3 linked regions of the Mytilus edulis genome follow. The protein of the gene in region 2 purifies or fractionates together with the protein of the main gene of each other region. This does not show direct contact. Links are inferred from orthologs where the notes say so. Each region holds a gene or a part of one and is shown on either strand. Other genes may lie near its edges.

Evidence for each region.
Region 1: the proteins of kinesin-like protein KIF23 (region 2) and protein ECT2-like purify together in Homo sapiens (co-immunoprecipitation; 3 studies listed by BioGRID and IntAct, with this or other methods). This does not show direct contact. The link is inferred for Mytilus edulis from reciprocal best matches to the Homo sapiens genes KIF23 and ECT2.
Region 3: the proteins of kinesin-like protein KIF23 (region 2) and ADP-ribosylation factor 6 purify together in Homo sapiens (affinity purification with western blotting; 3 studies listed by BioGRID and IntAct, with this or other methods). This does not show direct contact. The link is inferred for Mytilus edulis from reciprocal best matches to the Homo sapiens genes KIF23 and ARF6.

What each region holds. Positions count from the first base shown.
Region 1 is NC_092346.1:78,100,887-78,108,481, forward strand, and holds the start of protein ECT2-like, read left to right. Parts: upstream 1-4,477; 5' UTR 4,478-4,531; coding exon 4,532-4,574; intron 4,575-7,595. Other genes in the region: octanoyl-[acyl-carrier-protein]:protein N-octanoyltransferase LIPT2, mitochondrial-like, read right to left, coding at 408-646, 1,198-1,669, 1,788-1,796. UniProt on the Homo sapiens protein: Guanine nucleotide exchange factor (GEF) that catalyzes the exchange of GDP for GTP. Promotes guanine nucleotide exchange on the Rho family members of small GTPases, like RHOA, RHOC, RAC1 and CDC42.
Region 2 is NC_092350.1:35,585,857-35,592,834, forward strand, and holds the start of kinesin-like protein KIF23, read left to right. Parts: upstream 1-3,941; 5' UTR 3,942-4,066; coding exon 4,067-4,077; intron 4,078-6,667; coding exon 6,668-6,728; intron 6,729-6,978.
Region 3 is NC_092350.1:7,208,253-7,215,483, reverse strand, and holds the start of ADP-ribosylation factor 6, read left to right. Parts: upstream 1-4,221; 5' UTR 4,222-4,621; intron 4,622-7,231. UniProt on the Homo sapiens protein: GTP-binding protein involved in protein trafficking that regulates endocytic recycling and cytoskeleton remodeling. GTP-bound form plays an important role in the transport of multiple palmitoylated proteins form the Golgi to the plasma membrane.

The sequences.
Region 1 (7,595 bases), on a different chromosome or scaffold from region 2:
ACATAACAGCCTGTGCACTTTTCATGTAATTTTTACCCAGAGAAGTGAAGGAAGATTCTTTTCTACAGCACCATCAAAGAGTCCTCACCTGAAGACACAATCACATTAAATGGGTCAATATCATTTTGTTTATTGTGTTGTTGGTTTGTTGTTCTATTGACACATATCTCCTGTTCATATCTTCACATCAAATTATTTTCAAAACATAGAATCTCTAATTAAATTCATATTCACAATTTTATAACTTCTTTCCAATAGATCAATTTGGCAAATATTTTTTTTATAAACAATTTATTTTCTTAGTCATAATGTTGGATCTATAAAAATGTGGAAATAAATAAAATATATTTTTTATATAAATTAAAACATGATTCATTGTTATATTATAATTATATACTTATTTTGTGTTAATATTCCTCTGTTTCTTTATCTATATACTTTAATTGACAATCAAATTGTCTTTGAAAATTTTCTAAAAATGGTTTTACAGCATCATTTATATTAATATCACAGCCCTTTTCTTTACTAAGAGACGTCACATCTTTTCCTTTTAATCCACAAGGTACTATATGTTTGAACCAGTTCAAATCAGTATTACAGTTCAAAGATACACCATGAGTTGTTACATATCTGCGACCATGAACACCTACAATATAATAATAATTGATAAAATATAAACAAATTATATTTGAGCATTGAGTTTAATGCTACAAAATTTACGAATTGTTTCTAGCACTCATTAATACACAAAAGAAAATCACACAGACTAGTAAACTCACAAAAAACTGGTACAATTCATTAATAATGGATGGATTGTTGTTTAATGTCCAGTGGCAAATTAAATGCATATTTGTAGAGTACCGGTACTAATTGAGAAATTCGTATGACGTTATGAAACATAAATTGTAGCTCAAAAATAAATATATTCATGAAATTTTAACTTCTGTAAACATGATAAAAAAAAATTTTTTAATCAAAAGTATACAAAACAAATAAAGTGTTTGATCATTCATTCCTGCATCAATTTTTAGTAATTTTCAACTGTGCAAAACATCAAAATGAATGTCTTTCACAAATAATGATCAATAATGGTTATAAAACCAAAAGTAAAACTTTTATTTTTGCTTAACATTAGCCATGATAGTGTATCTTGATGAATAGCTAATATTGATGGTAAAAAAGACCTTTCAGACTTACCAATAGCTCCAATTTTCCTATCTCCAATCCATACTCCTGTATCTTCTGTTGTATGGGCATTTAGACCATAATATTTACAAGTTCCAATCATTGTCTTTTCCATGGAACAAATATACCACTTCATATTTGGTGTAAAATATTTTAGATTTAAAATTGGATAAGCAACAAGTTGTCCTGGTCCATGATAGGTAATTAAACCACCTCTATCTGTTCGGCAAAATTCAGCACCTAGCTTTTTAAGTTTTTGTTCGTATTCTTCCGAATAGTCTTTAGATCTAATTCCAATGGTATAAACTGGGTTATGCTCTACAAGTAATACAACATTTTCTCCATTTGAACCGTGTACTCCTGCCATACTGTCTAAATGCTGTCGTGCAAATTTGGTCTGTACCTTATAAGCATCAAGGAATCCCATTTTTCCAAGATTTAATACACTCACAATCTTGCTGTAAGAGCTCATCATGACATTTGTCTGTAATGGAAAAAGCTCACATGTATTTTGATAATCATTAATGACATTATTCTAATACCGTAACTTGAAAAAAGATTGACGAATTGATATAATTTAATCTAACGTAATCAAGCTGTACCTTCTCCATTAGCTATTTTTCTACATTTTGTCAATAGCCTGACAGGTCATACATTTGAGGGTGGTAATGGGGATACTTTCATGACGATAAACGGTAAAAATGCTTGCCAAATGACGTTATTTGTAGTTTTTAGTGCGTGACAATAAAATGTACACTTGGTTTAGAGGATAAACCAGATGCTCCCCAGGGTGCAGCTTTATACAACCTCAGAGGTTGAAACCTGAACGGTTGGGCCAAGTATGGACACAACATTCAAGCTGGATTCAGCTCTAAATTAGATTGTGATTAAATAGTTGACACAGCATAGGTTTCTGACACAGAATGAATGTGGTCTAATGAACTTAAAATTTTTGTTTTGCCTTTGAGCAATTCACTTTGCCCCCCCCCCCCCCCCCCCCCCCCCCAATTTTTTTTGTTCACATCCCCCTTTCCTTTATTCCAAAACCAATCTCAATTCAAATTTCTAATGGAGTTTGCAAGAATAACTACTCATTTAAGTACATCACAGTCTTCACGCTGAACTGCTACATCTACAGGCCCGCAGCTCAATTTTAGAATTTTTTTTTTTTTTTTTTTTTTTAAATAATATCTTTATTGCACTTTTCTTTGCTGTTGTTACAAATTACTCGACCTACAGCGGAAATTTTTAGTTAGATTCTGTTGGCCTGTAGGTCTGATTTTTACAGGCCCAAGAGCAATTTCACCAGCCTGGGCTGCCCAGGCTGCCACTCGGCGTGAAGACTAACATCATAAAATATTAAAAAAAAAGTGCTTGTTATCACTGAATGGTAAAGATTGTTTTAATTTATCAGTTGATAGTAAAAGTGAATATACATTGTATATTGTATAAAACAATGATTTAAGTTGATTCAACTACTATTCTGGACAAAGAAAGATAACTCTAATTGAAATTTCTTGCTATTGCGCAATACTGTGCAATTAGATATTTCTTGCTATTGCGCAATACTGTGCAATTGAAAATACTTGCTAATGCACAATACTGTGCAATTGAAGATTTCTTGCTATTGCGCAATACTGTGAAATTGAAAATTTCTTGCTATTGCACAATCCTGTGCAATAATTGCCTCAGTACTGTGAAATTGAAAATTTCTTGCTATTGCACAATACTTAATATAATAATTTTGGATTCTGATTTGGACCAACTTGAAAACTGGGCCCATAATCAAAAATCTAAGTACATGTTTAGATTCAGCATATAAAAAAACCCCAAGAATTCAATTTTTGTTAAAATCAAACTAAGTTTAATTTTGGACCCTTAGGACTTTATAATGTAGACCAATTTGAAAACGGGACCAAAAATTAAGAATCTACATACACAGTTAGATTCGGTATATATATATCAAAGAACCCCAATTATTCATTTTTTGATGAAATCAAACAAAGTTTAATTTTGGACCCTTTGGACCCCTTATTCCTAAACTGTTGGGACCAAAACTCCCACAACCAATCCCAACCTTCCTTTTATGGTCATTAACCTTGTGTTTAAATTTCATAGATATCTATATACTTATACTAAAGTTATGGTGCGATAACCAAGAAAAATGCTTATTTGGGCCCCTTTTTGGCCCCTTATTCCTAAACTGTTTGGACCTCAACTCCCAAAATAATTACCAACCTTCCTTTTGTGGTCATAAACCTTGTGGTGTTTAAATATCATTGATTTCTATTGACTTAAACTAAAGTTATTGTGCGAAAAGTAAGAATAATGCTTTTTTGGGCCCTTTTTTGCCCCTAATTCCTAAACTGTAGGAACCAAAACTCCCAAAATCAATCCCAACCTTCCTTTTGTGGTCATAAACCTTGTGTCAAAATTTCATAGATTTCTATTTACTCAAACTAAAGTTTTAGTGCGAAAACCAAGAAAATGCTTATTTGGGCCCTTTTTGGCCCCTAATTCCTAAAATGTTGGGATCATAACTCCCAAAATCAATCCCAACCTTCCTTTTGTGGTCATAAACCTTGTGTTAAAATTTCATAGATTTCTATTTACTTATACTAAAGTAAGAGTGCGAAAACTAAAAGTATTCGACGCCGACGCCAACATGATACCAATATATGACCAAAAAATTTTCGTTTTGTGGTTGTATAAAAATAGTCTGACTTTGATTAATCTCGTTAAATTATTTCAAAAAATAACAGTAACGGTAATTATTTGAGACCTCTGACAAATCACGATAAGGATATTTTGACGAATCACGTTAAAAATTTTACCAATTTGATGCTTACGGTAGCCGAAAATGACCTTTTGACGCCTGACCCTAAAGGGCATTACTACCCTCAGATATACCCTCATAAATTATTGATTTTAATAGATCAAGTAAATGGTTGTAATTTTAGAGATGATATCCTAATAAATATTTTTTTTTAATTGAGTAGTTAAGATCACTAGTTGATAGCTGGGTCTATAAAATAAAAGAACAGAGATTCAGTGATTTCAGCTTTGCACATATTTATCTGTACATCGTGGATTTTGGATCAGAGAAAAATTAACGGCTAGGCTTGGGTGAAATGGAATTAAACAGAAATTACCAAATCTTCGAATTACCAGTAGGAATGTAATTCAGACGACCAAATTATTGGACCGGATTTGTATTTGTTGACATTTTTCTTGACAGCATGCTACTTCCTGTTTTTGTTTTGAACTATGGGAAATTGTCTTCAAATTCATTAGCCAATCAAAAATGCGGTTTGTTTGAACAGCGCCATTTTCAAGTGTGGAAACAATGTCGGAGTGTAAAACAAAGCCCGACGTACCCTTAGATGATGGCACGTTGTTATAAAACTTAAGTTAAAAAGCCTCATATTATATTCAATGTACCAATGATGTTATTGACGTAGACAAATCAGGGTTGCACTCTTGTCAGACACAACGATCCACAAAAAGCACAACCCACTCTTCTCTTTTTGTTTTCCAGTCTCGAGAACTAAATATAAATATTGTAATACTAGCCACTTTACTCGATTTATAAAAAAAAGATATGATATGAATGTCTGTGTGACCACTTTTCACCGGAAAAGAAAATATGTTGTATCTTCAATAGTGAGCAATGTCAAATCATAGATATAAAAGCCATATAGATAAAGTACTGGACTCACATCAAAAGCAGATATTTTCCGAAATTTTATCACCCTCTTATTAAATACATGTCACGCTTGGTATTAATTAGCCTTAATTAGCCTTTATTGGCAATTGCCGTCTATCGATATCTTGTAAACAGGGGCGGATCCAGGATTTTCGGTTAGTGGGGGCGCAAACTTAAATTTTTTATCGAAATTATTGAAATATTCTTCTAGAGAGGATGCAATTTAGATATCTTGCCAAGCGTGGCGAGAAATAAATATTTTGTGGTAAAATTAGCGTGAAATTGAAGTTTCAAGGTAAACCCGCATAAATCCACCCCTGACAATTTGTAATCACTATAATTAACAAGAAATCTGCGAGCTTCTATTCATTGACTCAATGATAGCTCACCGACCAATATAAGATTTTGAAAACAAGAATTTCTACTTTTGCCAGCGATTTTTAATTGTCTTTTCTTCTATTTCCGGAGGTCGTGTCAAACTTTTTATATACATTTCTACCGCATACAAGTAAAATCAGAATGAGGTCCTTGCGAAGATATGTTTATTTTCGTGGGATCCTATGTAATACGGTAGTACGGGTTGGGGGCGTTCCCCGTTTATGCATGCTTCGGCAAGGTAAACTTTACAGGTTGAAAGTGAGAAACACTAGTATATTGATATCATACAGAGATATTAAACAATGATACGAATCAATAAACGAACCTTTCGCTTGAACCAGCATTCCTATCTTTCATTAAGAAAGAATTTAAACAGGACCGTGCCATAATGAAATAACCAACCCAACCGCGGGTAGGGCACTTTCGACTACTTCGTGGAAAAGTGAGGTAGGGTTGTTTTTGAACTTATCAAAGCAATTGTTTATAAAATCCGCAACTACCATGTCACATTGTTTTACTTGAACTGCTAAAAGCCTATGATATTTTTCACCAAACGCAGTACCGCGATGAAGTATAATATATTTATAGAACTTATAAATAAACCGTAGGTCAGTTTATTAGTAATCACATTGATTCTGTTAAACTTACTGTTTTATATACTTCTTTGAATGTTAAAACAGATGCAATGCGACGAGATTAATATTCGTTGTCTGTTCAGATACTTTATTGAGCTGAGGACAACCCATGCTTTGCAAATTTTAGGGGGGGGCGCATGCCCAACACGCCCCCGCCTAAATCCGCCCCTGGTAAATTGTGAATCGGGGGAGTTATAAGTCATTCTTCGGACAAGTTCGGTAGTTTTGTTATCTTCCTGTACATAATTTTTTGGAATGTTTATATACGTGCTAAAAATTCATGTCGAGGTGATCGATGTATGATTACATTGTTCTTATAAGTCCCTAATATGCATCAAATATTTTCCACTGAACGTTGTGAAATCAAGGATCATATAATAAATCACTGTAATAGAAAATACACACAACTAGTTTCATACCAAATCAAAGACGTTATAAAAATAAAGTACACAAAAAGTATGTTGACAACTAAACGGTCAGACTTGCAGAGGGTTACATTTGTATATAGCCATATTAATAGTACGAATCACACCCTTAACAAAATTCTAAGAAGGATATATATTGTTTACTTCAAAAATGAAATAGACAATCAGTTTAAACCATCCGCTATTTAATTGCAAATCAAGCAAAAAAAAATGTAAGCAGAAAGGTATTATATATAAAAGAAAAAAATCAGAGACATGATAATTGTGCTATTTCCCAATTATTTAATGTATGTCAACCACTAACAATTTCTTCACCAAACGGCGTTTTAAAATTTATAATGTATTCATTTTTTTCTCTGTATTTTTCAACACTTGTAAAAGAAAAAACATTTTGTGTTCTAAAATATAATAATTTCGTTTTTCTGGTCTAAAATGTGATTACACTGTTTTGAAACTTGATAAAAAAAAATTGTCTTTAATAAAACGCATAGAAAAATTTGACCAGGTTTGACCTCTTACCCATGTATACCATCAGTAGTTGATGTGTCTCTTCTTGTCAATCATACAGGTCTTATTTCCCGAGTGCAACCGATGCAAGTGCTATGGCAATTTAATTTTAAGTGCCTGTTCAGTCCATTTTCCATAATTTCTCTATTTTATTATCTCCCCCCCCCCCCCCTCCCCCCTTGCTGCAGATCATAAATGTAAAATGATAAAAACTAACGACCTTTAATTAATGTAAAAAAATGAATGAAAAACAAAAGACACACTGCAACAAACGACAACCACTCAATTACAGAACAGGGATCTCCATGGCCTGTTTAACGATGGCGCCCCGCCATCGTTCAAATGTCTTGCGCCATCGTCAAATGACTTGCTCCATCGTTAAATTGCCTTGCGCCATCGTTAAATTGTCTCCGCCATCGTTCAAAACTTCATCGTATTTTGTAGCCCGACGCCATTTTTTTTATCAATTATAATCAAATGCATGTATTTGCATAACCTTAGGCTTTTTATGTTATAATCCAGTACAGTTCTAACGCCTGGGGGATATCCGGATTAAGATCGCTAATCACTTGTACCTGAGCTTGTACAGGTAGATCAACAAACTAGACAGGAGAATACTATCTGAGGATAGACGATCCATTTGTCGAATTAATCAAATAAGTTTCAGCAAGTGATTATGATGATTTAGATTAAATAAATAAATTCATAATCCAGTTACAAAGAAAACAGTTTAACAAGTCGAACACGTGCTTGATTTTG
Region 2 (6,978 bases):
TGATAATGAACCCTGATTTGTATCACGGGACGTTTAAAAATGACAAATCGTCTCCCCGTTTAGTATTTTTTTAATAAATAAGTATTTTAAATATAATTTATATAAAATCAAGGAAAATTTACATGGCGATTATAATACTCTTTACCCTTTCGAGGTTATGAAAAACTATATGTTTTAATATTTTTAATTAAATCTTTATAAATTTATTTCAAAACCAGTATTTCTCGTGTTGCTTTAGTTAATGCAATCTTATATTTATCGTAGTTTTGTACCTTCTTCATATATCAACAAGGTATGAAACGAGATGATTTAAACGCTTACGCCTTATTGTGGTTGTGCAAGTTCTCAAATTCCATGCAAGACAGATTATCGGTTTTTATGTATACCACCACTTCTAAGACAAATCTTTAAAACATACACAGTGTTAAAAACATTTGTATGATATATTAATTTAACTATCAATAATGAACTTTTGACGAGGTAAAAATGAAGTTACATGTTGACCTGTTCAGCTTATATTGACTGGGGACAAAGTCCGAGGGTCAATAGATTCTATCCTTATATAACATAGCCAGTACGATACGAAAATGCAATTTACCACTTTTGTCGGTAAAAGATAGAAACTAAAAACTGAGTAGGTTGCAAAAATGTGTAAAACAGAATTACATAAATATTAAGTATTTTCCTAAAACTTATTTTCATATGGTAGATACTAACTACTAAATATATCAAGTATAAAACAGATTACAAAGTACTGATGAATATCTACTTAGTATGGGATGAGGCGACTTGAAATGTCTTTCATTATAACCGTTATGAGCTTTATCAAATACATATAGTGCTTTATCAAAACTATATTTTGTTATTGTGAAATGTATATTGTTAATAAAATGTCAAAGACGTAAACATTTTTTAAACCAAAATATATGACCAATACATCACATTTTAATTCTAAACTAATACTGCTGTTTCATCGAAATAACGATTATTTCATAATTTGACTGACTAAAAATATAATTTAAAAGAAGTAAAAACAAAAATGAGAAGAAACCAAAGGGATATCCAAAGTCGAAAACATACTAAACAACGCTGTGACAAACACATAATAAACAACGCTGTGACAAAAACATACTAAACAACGCTGTGACAAAAACATACTAAACAACGCTGTGACAAAAACATACTAAACAACGCTGTGACAAAAACATACTAAACAACGCTGTGACAAAAACATACTAAACAACGCTGTGACAAAAACATACTAAACAACGCTGTGACAAAAACATACTAAACAATGCTGTGACAAAAACATACTAAACAACGCTGTGACAAAAACATACTAAACAACGCTGTGACAAAAACATACTAAACAACGCTGTGACAAAAACATACTAAACAACGCTGTGACAAAAACATACTAAACAACGCTGTGACAAAAACATACTAAACAACGCTGTGACAAAAACGAAAAACAACCAATAGACAAACAACAGTAAAAAATACATCACTGGGCAACAAGAACCCAGCTAAACATCGAGATTGATCAGGTGCTCCGCAAAAATAAACAGATTCTGCATCACTAGTGGTACCAGTCTTATTGCTCGTGTAAGTACAAATCCGCGGCGATGAGTCGTCGAAGAAAAGAGAAAACAATCATTTTCATTAGTATTCGCAACACAATACACAAGAAACTGAAATCTCCACTCAAACTGAGAAACGATTTATAATCATTTATCAATTCCAACTCCTCTAAACGCGCTTCTTGCGTTGACACAGAAAATTATGATAACCCGTGTAGTAAGACAAAGTTCATGGTTATTTCTGCATTGTTTTTTAGAAGACATTATTTAGTGTCTGGTTCATTTTTCATTTTGACCAATGAAATGTGTTGAGAGTAACTATTATCTCAAATGAAAATGGAAATGTTAAGTCAGATCCAACTAAAACATATTTGTAAGTATCCAATACACTGCCATGCAACGTTTGGATTGCTTGTCATTTGCTTAACGTCTAGTTGCAAACATTAATGCATATCTATACAAAGGTATACATGAAGAGTATTATGGAGAATAATAAATACAACAGCGATACAAAGATATGCTTACTTGTTCAAGGTGTACAATGCATCTTTTAAAATGGAAGGCCCCTAAAATATGAGGGTTGGAGGATAAACATTGAAAATTAGTAAAATATGTAACCAAACAATTCACGATCTTTCCAGGGCATCCTCTCATACAATGATTGTTAATTGAGATAAGTATACAATAGAAACTCAATAAAGCGAATCCATGTACTAAATGTCATCGTACAGTCTTCAACAACGAGCAAAATTCATATCATAGTCCCCGACATGAAAAAAATAAAGAAAAAAATCAAAAAAATAAACCAACAGACTATGACCAAAACAATCAACAAAACACTAATATTACAGACAGCAAACAACGACAACCACTAAGTTTCAAATTCCTGACTTGTAATTGATTGAGTGATTGTTGCTGTTTTAGCTCCACTTTTTAGTGCCACGTTTGTTCTGTTTCGAGACTGTCAGTTTTATTGGTGGCGGAAGCTTCAGTGCTCGTAGAAAACCACCGAACTTCGATAGGAAAACTGACAGACAATCCTAGTCAATTAAGATTGAGGCCAAGTGCACCCGCATGAACGGTGTTCGAACTCACAACTTCAGTGTTGACTGGCTTGTGATTACAGTAGGTGAGCTACTTGGACCACTTGGCCACCGAGGCCCCTCCTGACTTGTGATAATCACCTATAAAATTGGCGGGCTTAAACATGTTTTTGAGCGTTCTACCTTGGATAGCGATGTAAATGCCACATAAGCACATAATTGAAAATTCAATTAAAGAAATGAGGTTATGTTAAATGTTAAAATTCACAACAAGCAGAAAGCACAATCATTAGCACAACACAAGGAATGTAGCCAATGAGCAGGTATAATAAACCAGTTAACATAGATTAATTAAAAATTAAATTAAAACTATATAGGAAAAAAAAAGAAAGCACGAACAGAATTCAGCTATGATACAGCATTTGGTATTTACAGACAGCAGAAACAATTTTGCCCACCATACCATCTAGAAATTAAAAGTTAATTTTCAAACAAGATGGACGAGGCTTCATTTTGCAGCCTATTCTTAAGTAGTGCTGCCTCATACCTGAAAGAATTCTTATGATACTTTGTAATTTCTATGTCTTGTCTCAGAAATTTCCCCCTATGCATCTTAATAATATATTGAGGTATATAGGAATTTTTTTTCTGAGACAAGTGCCTGTGCTTGTTATGTCTCTCATGGCGCACATCTAAAACAATTGAATTGCATGTTTATTTTATTTTTAAAATTTTATTTCAACCTCTTTTTTCTAAAAAATAAATATATAAATAAAAAAAAGACGATATAGATGTATAGCCTCTAAAGCTCTTTTTGATTTACCTAACAAAATATGAAAGCCAAAAACTACATAAACGACTATAAGGAACTACTGATATGTGTGATGAATTAATACCTGTCTATATATATGATATGAAGTTTCCTATGAATTTCACGGTTAAGTTTTGTTTTATGCCACAAGTATCATTTTATTTATACGACAAAAAAGAATTAATATTTAATGAAAATATGTATCTATTCAATGTATGCTATGAAATCAAAGTTTTCATGATATACTAATTCTTAAAGAAAAATATTTTCTCTTTTTATAATTTTTCTTATTAGCGAGTTTACAAATAAAAACTGAGTAGAAAAATTAGGGAAAATAAATGTCCTGTGTGTATACCTTGTCGGTCGCAGCTGGATAACTCAGACTAAAACAAGTAGTCCGAGTTTGTTATAGTCCGATATTGTGAGACCAAACTATATTTGGGCCGAGTTTGATATGTTCCGAGTTAAGTATGTATGGTCCGAGATGTCTAGAAGTCTTGTCGGTTACCTCCCTTGTGGCGCTTGGTTTAAAAACAAGTCACGTGATTTTTGACTGGGGGAAATTTGAAACAACAAACAACTGTAACTTGTAAAAAGCATATAACGAAGATCATTTTAAGTATCATTGAGCGATGCCACCACAGTAAGAGATATACCATTAAGGGGAATATGTTCAATGAAGTTGATTAACCTTTTTATGTGTAAAAAGTTCAATTTCAATGCAACACCATCGAAGTTCTTCATGTTATAATTTTCCGCTAGGAAATCATTTCTGTCGCAATTTACCCAGTTCAAAAGACCTTTATCATTGAAAAATAGGCAGCTCCGATATTTCGATTCCCGATTTTTCAAGACAACGGAGGCAGTGGATAAAACAGTTCTGGAGAGATGCAAAAAAAGGGGGGGGGGGTTTAAACAGTCAACACGAAATTAACTTTACAGGTGTAACTAGAGAGCATGAATTCCATTTACAAAATTGCTGGATTCCAACCCAGGACCTTTGTGTTACAAGGCAGCTCGTTAACTTACTGAGTTAAAGAAGTAATTCCTAAAGCTAAGCTCAAATTCTTACTACTGACTAACTTGCATTGAGACTAAAGTTCTAAGGGGGAGCAATCCTGTCAAACTTCCCCCCACCCCAAGAGTCAGTATACTCTTTAATGATGAGATCTTCATTTACATGTATATATATATGGGGGAAGTTTTACAGGATTGCTTCCCCTTAGAACTCTTAGAATTCTGAAGCTAGTCAATAGTAAGAATTTGAGCTTAGGAATTACTTCTTTAACTCAGTCAGTTAACGAGCTACCTTGTAACACAAAGCCAGGGAAATATATATTTATACAGTACCTGGCCAAAAGTATTCGTCGCCTGCATTTTTTTGCTATTTATTTCATACAAAAACACATTTTTTCAAAAAAACATTTCGAGGGCATTTATGGTTGGATTTTTATCAACAAGGCCTTAAAAGACGTGGAATCGTCTAAAGCATGTTTGTTTTTTTGATAATTGCTTAGTTTTCAGGTGTTTTTGCTTTCTCTTGATGTGAACACATACAAGATTTTTTTATTATTTAATTTGGTTGAATATATTGCGAAATTTCTGATCAGAAATTAATATTTGTGTTTATCTTGTGAAAAAATTAAAATGATCCACACAAAATATATAACCAAATAAACAAATAAACCTGTGACAATTCTGCTTCTATTGGTACCAAATTGTTTAAAATCAAACCAAAAATGACCCCAAACTATGTTTTTGAAAAAATTTAGTTTTATATACAATACATGTAACGTGACGGTACCCAAATTGCACCTATTTTGACAGTTTATTTAACTACGTTTTTTTATGATCAAGACAAAAATTTCCATTTTGTGTTTATTTTGTAGCCGTATCCTTCTTTATTATATAGGTACACCAATTTGATTTTCAATCCATATGAAATCATAGAAAAATTGGTCTGAACTAACCTCCAAACCATCAATGATTATGTATTGAGGAGTACCCAAATTGCATCCATGCTTACATTTGCATCGTCAAAAGTCAAATAACAGAGCTTTTGTTTAATTTTTTCAAATATTTTGAACAATTGGATATTTGTCCATGCTTACTCTTCATTTTTTAAGAAATGGGTACTTGAAACATATTATATTTGGTAATTTTAAAAAGATGACGTCGCATGGCGATGTTTCGGTACATTTTGCTTTTTCAGTAAACACTTCATCTGTCGATAAATACTGTGAACGTTTTGTGTATATCTAAATATGTTTACCGATGATGAAAGACGTGCATAGTATCAAATCATACAAATACAAATTGTTTAGTCTCTAGGAAATCTTGTAAGATTTCCGCTGCTATTTTTGCTAAATAGGTGCAATTTGGGTACTCGGTGCAATTTGGGTACCGTTACGTTATATATAGCGAAAAATCTCATGTGACGAATACTTATGGCCACACTCTGTATATACTGTATATATTTCCCTGGCTAGGTAATTCTGCCCATGACAAAAAAATGTACCATGTCAAGTTATTTTTTCAATTGGCCAAAAAAAATAAAAATTTTACCTTGTCAAAATAAAAAAAGATGTGTGTTTCCTATAACGGTTACCACCCTATTATATAAGCTCAAAAATAGACTACCCTAAAGTTTTTTTTTTGTCATTTTTCAATAAGCACTGTTAAAGTTAGAATGTCCCTCCCATAGACTAAATGTAAAGAAAAAAGGTTAAATTAAAAATAAAATCCCTTCCTACCTACCCTATTTGCATATTTTTTTTTGGCCCTACATAAAAATAGGAATTGGAAAAGTGCAAACAAACAATATTTTGATTTAAGCTGAACCATGCCAGAGAGCATGAATTTCATAACAAACTACTTGTTTCCATCAGGATTCGAAACCAAGGACCTTTGTGTTACAAGGCAGCCTGTTAACCAACTGAGCTAAAGAAGTACTTTCTTTAATAGCTCAACCGCTTACGGCTGACTACGTATCAACTACATTTTCTAAGGGAAGCAAAGCTACTGAACATTTGACTGGGCCCCTGGAGTGAAATTGTAAAACATGGAATTTATAATTTAGAAAAGACATCTTGCAGCTGGTATTTTGAGAAAAAAAAGAAACTTTAATAGTTGATTTACTGTAAATTGTTCTCTGAAATTATTTCCTATTTAAAAAAATGATTAATACTAGACTTACACTTATTGTAATATTAACAAATAATTATATTTTTCAGACGAGGAAAAACCCCCAGGAAGAATAAAAATGGATCTGGATCTCAGACAGAACCTGTTGAGGTGAGGACAAATCCTAATGATCACATTCATAAATATGAAAAAAGAATGTGTGTGTTTACGGGTCTTAGCCAAAATTTATGGATATACATGTATATGAAGAACAAAATTTATAATAAATTGCCATTGAATCTGGTCCTGATCAAGGCTTCCAAAACGGTCATATATTCCGGTCATTTGTATAATGTCCGGTAAAAGTCCGGCTGGGCAAAGCATGAAACGGTCATATACTTTTTAGTTTTCAAGGCTTTTT
Region 3 (7,231 bases), about 28 Mb from region 2:
GTTATCCGATATATTTAACATGTTTGGTGATGTTATACGCTTTTGTTAGTGTCTTATTAATGTCTTTAGATATTGTATAATTCTCCTTATGAGCTCATTTAATGGAAATAAAACTTCTTCTTCTTTTATATAAAGTGATTTCTTAAAGCTATATATTTGGGGGACTTCGTTTGGCTAACTGTAGAAGCGTCGGTCATGTCTTCATTGTTTATTCTTTAATTTGAAGGCATTCTTTATCTTAATATTAATCTCCATATTCGTTATACATAAGCACTCCATTATTCTCTTTTCTGTAGTTTAAATATAAAAAATAAGAAGATGCGATATGCTTGCCAATGAGACAACTCTCAAAAAGAGACCAAAATGACACAGAAATTAACAGCTAAAATGCCACCGTACGACCTTCAGCCTTGAATGAGTAAAACCCGTGCCATAAATTAAAAAGCCCCGAAATGACTAATATATTTAAAAATTCAAACGAGAAAACTAAAAGGCCGGCCTGATTTATGTTCAAAATGGTGTAGAATTGGTTACATTTTGGAACAAGTTTATTTAATGGATCAATAGGTTTACCCAGATCGTATCCAAACTTCCAAGATCGGTAAACAACATCTCCGTAAAAAAAGGATGTGCTATTCCGTTAAAAAATAAGTTTTCTACATGCAGGTGCAACCAAACTTCCAAACCAAATCTTTATACCTATGGAACAATTTAGTATTTTTTAAAGTAATTTGTTGTTACGAAATTCCTGACTTAATGATTGTGCGGATCCGATCATTTTAAAACGGGAGGTCCAAACGCAGGTTAGAGTGGGTTGTTCCAACCACATGTCCCCATTCAAATGCATTGATCGTAAAAAAAAAAGGAGGGATTCAACCCCCAGAACCACTCCCTTTTGGATCCGCCACTACAGTATTACAAAGATTATGTTCATTGACATTGAAATCCAAAACCTAACAGCAGAGGTACCAAAGTAACATCATCTTATAACATAGGGGAAATCGTCTCTTTTCTCGGAAATTTTAGTGTTGAGTTTCCTATGAAAAACTGAAATATCTTAATCTAGGAAATGCATGACAGTTATAATCGTTTACATTTGATATACATGTAATTCAAGTAAGTTCCTTTGGGTAAAATTCGCCGTTACTGCATTTCGAAAATTCTTGAATTTAACAAAGAATATCATCAAGATAACGATATATCTGTTGTTGAATTAATCAATTAAATGTAATTTAGACGGCTCTTCACTTGGTTTAACAACAAACTTTGATTCATATCTGTATAAGAACAAGTCTGCTATCAAAGGGGCGAAATTGGTGCCCATGGGATACCTACAACCTGTCGATAAACTTTATTTAGAGATGTAATACTAGTATGAAAGGTTTCTGTAATTAGGATCATGTATAGCAAAATCATATAAACAATGCAACTACTAGTATATAGTAAAGTTCAAGAAAACAATGCGTCGGTTTATTATCGCCACAGAACTCTTGGAATAATAAAGCAAAAGCAAAATCTCTTCAGTTGAATAGACATGCGCTAACTACAGATTGAGACTTTTTAAGATATCCTTTTTTTTAAAACTTCTTTTAGAGGGAACCAGATCGAGAAACTTTCAGGACATTTGGAAGTGTCGATTATAATTGATGTTTTATACTCGCAGGTAAAGAATAATTCTGAAACAATGTTGAAGTGAAATCAATGCAAACCATGCTTCGGTCAAATCATTTTGAATGACCTGAACAGATAAAAAATAAGTATTGGTAAGACAACCAATGGCAAGTTCGAGTCGCTATTTTATATATAGCATAATACCATACCTTGTTAGGCGAACCTTGTTTTTCAAGCAGTTATATAGCCCCCCCCCCCCCCCCAACCACCACCACCACCACCACCACCACCACCACCACCACCACCACCACCAAACAAGAAAAAAACCAACGAATATGGCGTATCCATCCATGACACAAAATCAGTACATGCAATTAAGACTGCTCATCTAAATAATGACAACTTTGTGTTTTATCTTCATATTATTTATGTTTGTATTATTCAAACTAAACATAAAAGGGGAAGGGATAATTAGAAACTGAATATAACAATTTTAACAGGAATTTATAATATTAAATTTTTCTATTGGTTTTCGGTAACTTCAGTAAACGAGTCCCGTGACCCCAATTTTCCTCTCAAGTTTTCTGAAAGCACTGGCATTTTTAAAAGACACTTTCATATTATATTTTTTTTAAATCCGATATTTTTTTTCTTTCTGTCGGTTAAAACTTCTCATTAGAGCTTATGTTTGTCTCTGTTGTATACCTTGCCGACTCAAAATAAAGCTTATTTATTATTATTCTAAAACACATATTGTCTTTGATATTACCTGGACAATCGGAATATTATTTCCCGGATTTAACCCAAAACATTGACCTATTAACGTCACTAACTGATATTTGAATTATTCGAATAGACCTTTATTCGATATATATGTTTATTCCAAAATTTTTCAGCCAACTGATTTAAATTCACACTTTGATTATCCCGAGACTATCTTAGTATCTATGATTTGATACTAGTATATGTAATTCGTTACACGTAAGTTGGAGATCTATCCTAAACCGAGGATTAGGGTAGTCTGTGAAGCCTAGACTTAGACGATCTTAGACCCTGTTCACACTAGCAATTTTTTTTATCGATCTAATTTGAATCGATCTAAATAAAACCAGTTAGCGTTCACATTATCTTTAATCATATCGATCTCTATCGGTCTAATATGGACCACTGCGTTCACACTACAATTAAAAACGCAATCGATCTAACCTTTTTGCCCGTAAAACTGTAAACCATGTGTATAAATAGAACTGATTTATCAAATTCATGTGCTGATACACTGATACACACACTTGGAGAAAAAAATTTGGATAAAGTTATTGTTTCTATTGAATCACAATTTAAAATTTTGATACTAGTGTTATTGCAGTTTTCTTTAATTTTGAAAAAAAAAATAACTGTAGCAACGAAGCTACAACACGATGCCTGAAATACTGCGGTTCCTGCAAAGAAAAAAAATTCAACATAAGAAAAGAAGATACAGATTTCGCAAATCTATGCTATGGCGAAGACAACATGTTTACAGTTTGTTTTAAAGGTCTTTTAACAGAGAAATATGAGTTAAACAACGAACCTCTGAGATAGTTTTGCCGCTATACATGCGCATACGTTATTTTCGATTCAATCGTACTAATTTAAACCGATCTCTGCGTTCACATCTAAAATAAGATCGGTTTACTTAAGATCGATTCAAACTAAACTACCTCTTTTGGTGTTTTAGTTTAGACCGATTGAAGATCGATTCAATGTGTTCACATTAGCCCTTAAACCGATCTTAAGTGAACCGGTCTAGTTTAAATTGATAAAAATGTCCTAGTGTGAACGGGGTCTAACAACACAATGATCTACAAATCGTTGCCTAAACTGGGGGTATAAATTGATCTAAACTCTGTGACCCCGGCTTAAACCAGGGTGAAAGTCCCTGCTTTTCCAAAGATTGTCGAAAACAACATTTTAAGCTCTCTGATACTTTAGTATAGAAAGTCCCTGTACAGACTTAAGTTACAGACGGGGAAATATAACGATGAGGGTGGGTTTTTTTTAACGACCTTGACTACACATGAGGGTCTTGCAGGTGGCACGGTAGTATTTGCATTCCAGAATTTAGGTTGCCGTCTTTATCTAAACAGTGTGATTGGACAAAAAATCATGACAGTATCAACTGAACATACTTTCCCAAACTGAGGGATGAATCGGGTGTAGAAAAATATGAAATAATTTTACATACAGATAAAAATGATTTTTTGAGAATTTTTGAGAATTTTTTATTCACTGCACCATTAAAGACCTAAAAGTACTAGTGGCCTTAGGTTTTTAAAAATAGCAAAAATTGTAAACGGTCATGATACATATTCAAATTCATTTCTGAATAGTAAAATGAAAGTACTTCAGTTAACTCTCAATGTAGAATTTTTTGCAGTGTTAGAAAGTGGTGAAAATTCTAAAAAGGCTATCATTATCCCTTATGGGCCAGGAAATACTACCGTGCCACCTGCACGAAGTATCGGGTTTAAATAGAGTGTGATTGCATTACAATCTTTGACTTCCTCGAAAATCATTCATGTGTAAAATTGATCAATGACTTCATCTGCTCCACATCACGCCCAAACTCTCGTGAGAATTTGCGTGTTCAGATTCAAATAGTGTATTATTCCGCATTTTGATTTCTTTGGTTCTGGGCTCAGTTTCCGATAATCTTGTATTTGACTATTATTTTGCAAGTGTCTGTAGCATTATAAGAGCGCTTTCTTTTCGCACTTACAGAAATTAAGGCCGAAATTATGGACTATTTTATACGCCATTTTGCGGAAGTTTTGACCACCGCCATGGGTGATAATACCGCTTACAGAAATGGAACTTGACAGAAAATTATTACAATTTTCTTCTGTTATATGTTGTTGTTCAAAGTCCAATTAATACAACGAAATACTATTTTGTGAATGTAAACAAGTTAGATCCCTTCTAAGTGTCAAACGAGCCCTCTACTCTGAAAAAAACACCTGTAAACATTGAGGTAGGTGGAGACCAATATAAAATGACACCGGTGACTTTCTCGTTCATCTAAATGACATTACACTTCCATTTACACTTAAATTAGTAATTGAAGGGCAGGGATTGAATGATGTTATCATGCTTAAAAGAAACAATGTAACGACAGATCTGTACTAAATAATTGATTCTGTTGATATAATGAATATTTACTGAAAATAAATACTTGTGTATTACACATATTTTCCTAGACTAAAGACTACAATATTTATAAAATATAAAATAACTTTACACTTGAAACAGTTACCCACAGTCTCTTAATGGACATATTTCGTGTGATATGAAGAAATTGAGGAACTCGTGATTTAAATGAACGTTTATTAATTTACTGAATCTGGGTCCGTTCGCGCCCATTCACGTTCGTGCCCTTTCACTTTCGCACCCTTCAAGCAGTCAATCCCCTATGGGGTTGACCAGAGTGACATTCCCTCACATCATTCAATTTGTTTTTATAGTGTGGAAAACCCCCCAACAAATCTTACTGAGATTGATGAGAAAGAAACACACAAATGAATAGATTGACTTTAAACACTTTTCTACACATTTCCCTTCTGTTTCTAGCGAAATTATCGTATTTTGAGCTCTCTTTTACACTATTTATGTTTCTTTTACAATCCGGAAAAATCAGAAATTTTCTAAATATATCCAACCTACATTATATTTTATAATGACGTCATTGTTGGAATGCCACACTATGCAGAAGCAGGGATATCCTTCACTGGTTATTTAAATCATTCTCAGAGTTCATGCACTAATTATAAATTGTTATTTGTTAAATTTAAACATAATTATGTTTGTTGTAGATGATTCAAACATCAACATGCAATACTTTAATTTGTAGGTCAACAACTTTCAAAGTAAACAAAGTCCATGGAGATACATGAGATTGGGAAGAACGATTTTTAAATTTTTTTCTGTAAAATTCTGTTTTGTGAATCTTCCTCCAAATCAGGAGCACCTCAATTGATGAGTAATTATCCTCTAAAATAAAACTTGAAAATGTGACATTTAGTATATGATTAGTAGTCTTCCATTAAAACTAAATTGTGTGTACCAACAAATAAATCATTGTAATGGTTAAAAATGACGACCAGGATTTTTGGGTGAAATAAATCTTAAATATTAATCAAATTTGGTTAGTGTATTGCTATAATTTTTTATTTAATTGTTTTAGATCAAAGGGGCCAATCTGTTAAAAAACAATTATCTTTTGTGTTTTTCGTTTAAAATTTTTAATGTTTTACTCATACGAAGCTAAATACATGCAATATTTACATCATGGCAATTTAAAACAACAATCATGATTTTCTAATCATTCAACTGGAACTTGATTTTAAATAGACAGCTTTCGAGTTCGATGCATTTCCGTCAAAAACTCCGGTTTTAGTGAACGTCATTTGTGCGTTTAGGGGCGTCATCACTTCCGTTTTAATGTTGAGCGAGTGGTTGGAAAACTATAATTCTATATTGTACGAATTATTCAGCAAATTAAATTCTCAAAACTAACAATCAGCACAGCACTGCTGTCATTAGGGAATTGTCATTAAGTACCTACAGAACAACCATTATTTCTAGTTTATCCTGCACAACGACAATCACTAAGACGCTTGATGAACGTAAATTGTGCAGGGATACAGGCGATCCCCTCTATCTGGTAAATGACGTCATAAAGGCGCGCATAATTGACGAGTTTTTGCCGGTGACGGATGAACTCGAAAGTGGTCTATTGGGTGCGAACGGACCTTGGGTGCGAACGTGCGTGGTGCGAACATGTAGGGTGCGAAAGTGTATTGGGCGCGAACGAACCTGATACCCTAAACCAGTAAGACATGTACAAGAATTCTATATATTTATCTTATTTCTGTGGCAAAGTCAACAAAATATTAATGATCATATTTTTCCATCCCCAATTGATTGGTATTTTTATCTCTTAACCATGTTAACCTTTCCACCATATGTACAGGGCACGTTTACTGGTCCTTTTTACGTTATTTTATTTTATCAGTTATTTTTACCTTCGTCTTTTTTTATCTAACCCATATTTTAATAAACTTTTAAAAATTTAAAATAAATCTTTGATTTATCCACTTTTGTTAATACTTCCGATTACCCAGTAAGGGGTGTTCCTAAGATGGAAGCTTATACATAAGAAAGAAAAGAAAGAAAGAAGGTGATTGGCCATGCTGTCAAATCATTAATTATCATTGTTATCACATTTTGATCAGTTTCCATTTGAAGCTTATTGAATCATTTACCCATCTAGAATTGAATTTCTGTGTACATGTGAACATTGAAATGAGTTTTACTTTTTATTTTAAATTATTTATACATTTTTCCTGAAACTCTCTGGTGCCATTTTGGGATATGACTGCTCGCTGAAACCCTTATCAACAGATCAAGAAGTCCTATTTTCTCTGTTCAGGAAATTTTTTCTAATTTATATTGTACATCACCTATAGGCTATAGCACCCCTCCTTTAACCCACAGCATATAAGAATTGAATACAAGACCTGTCAGCCTTTTAGAATCAATTTAACATTTTGTAAGTAGTTGTACCTTAAAGTTATATCAGGGT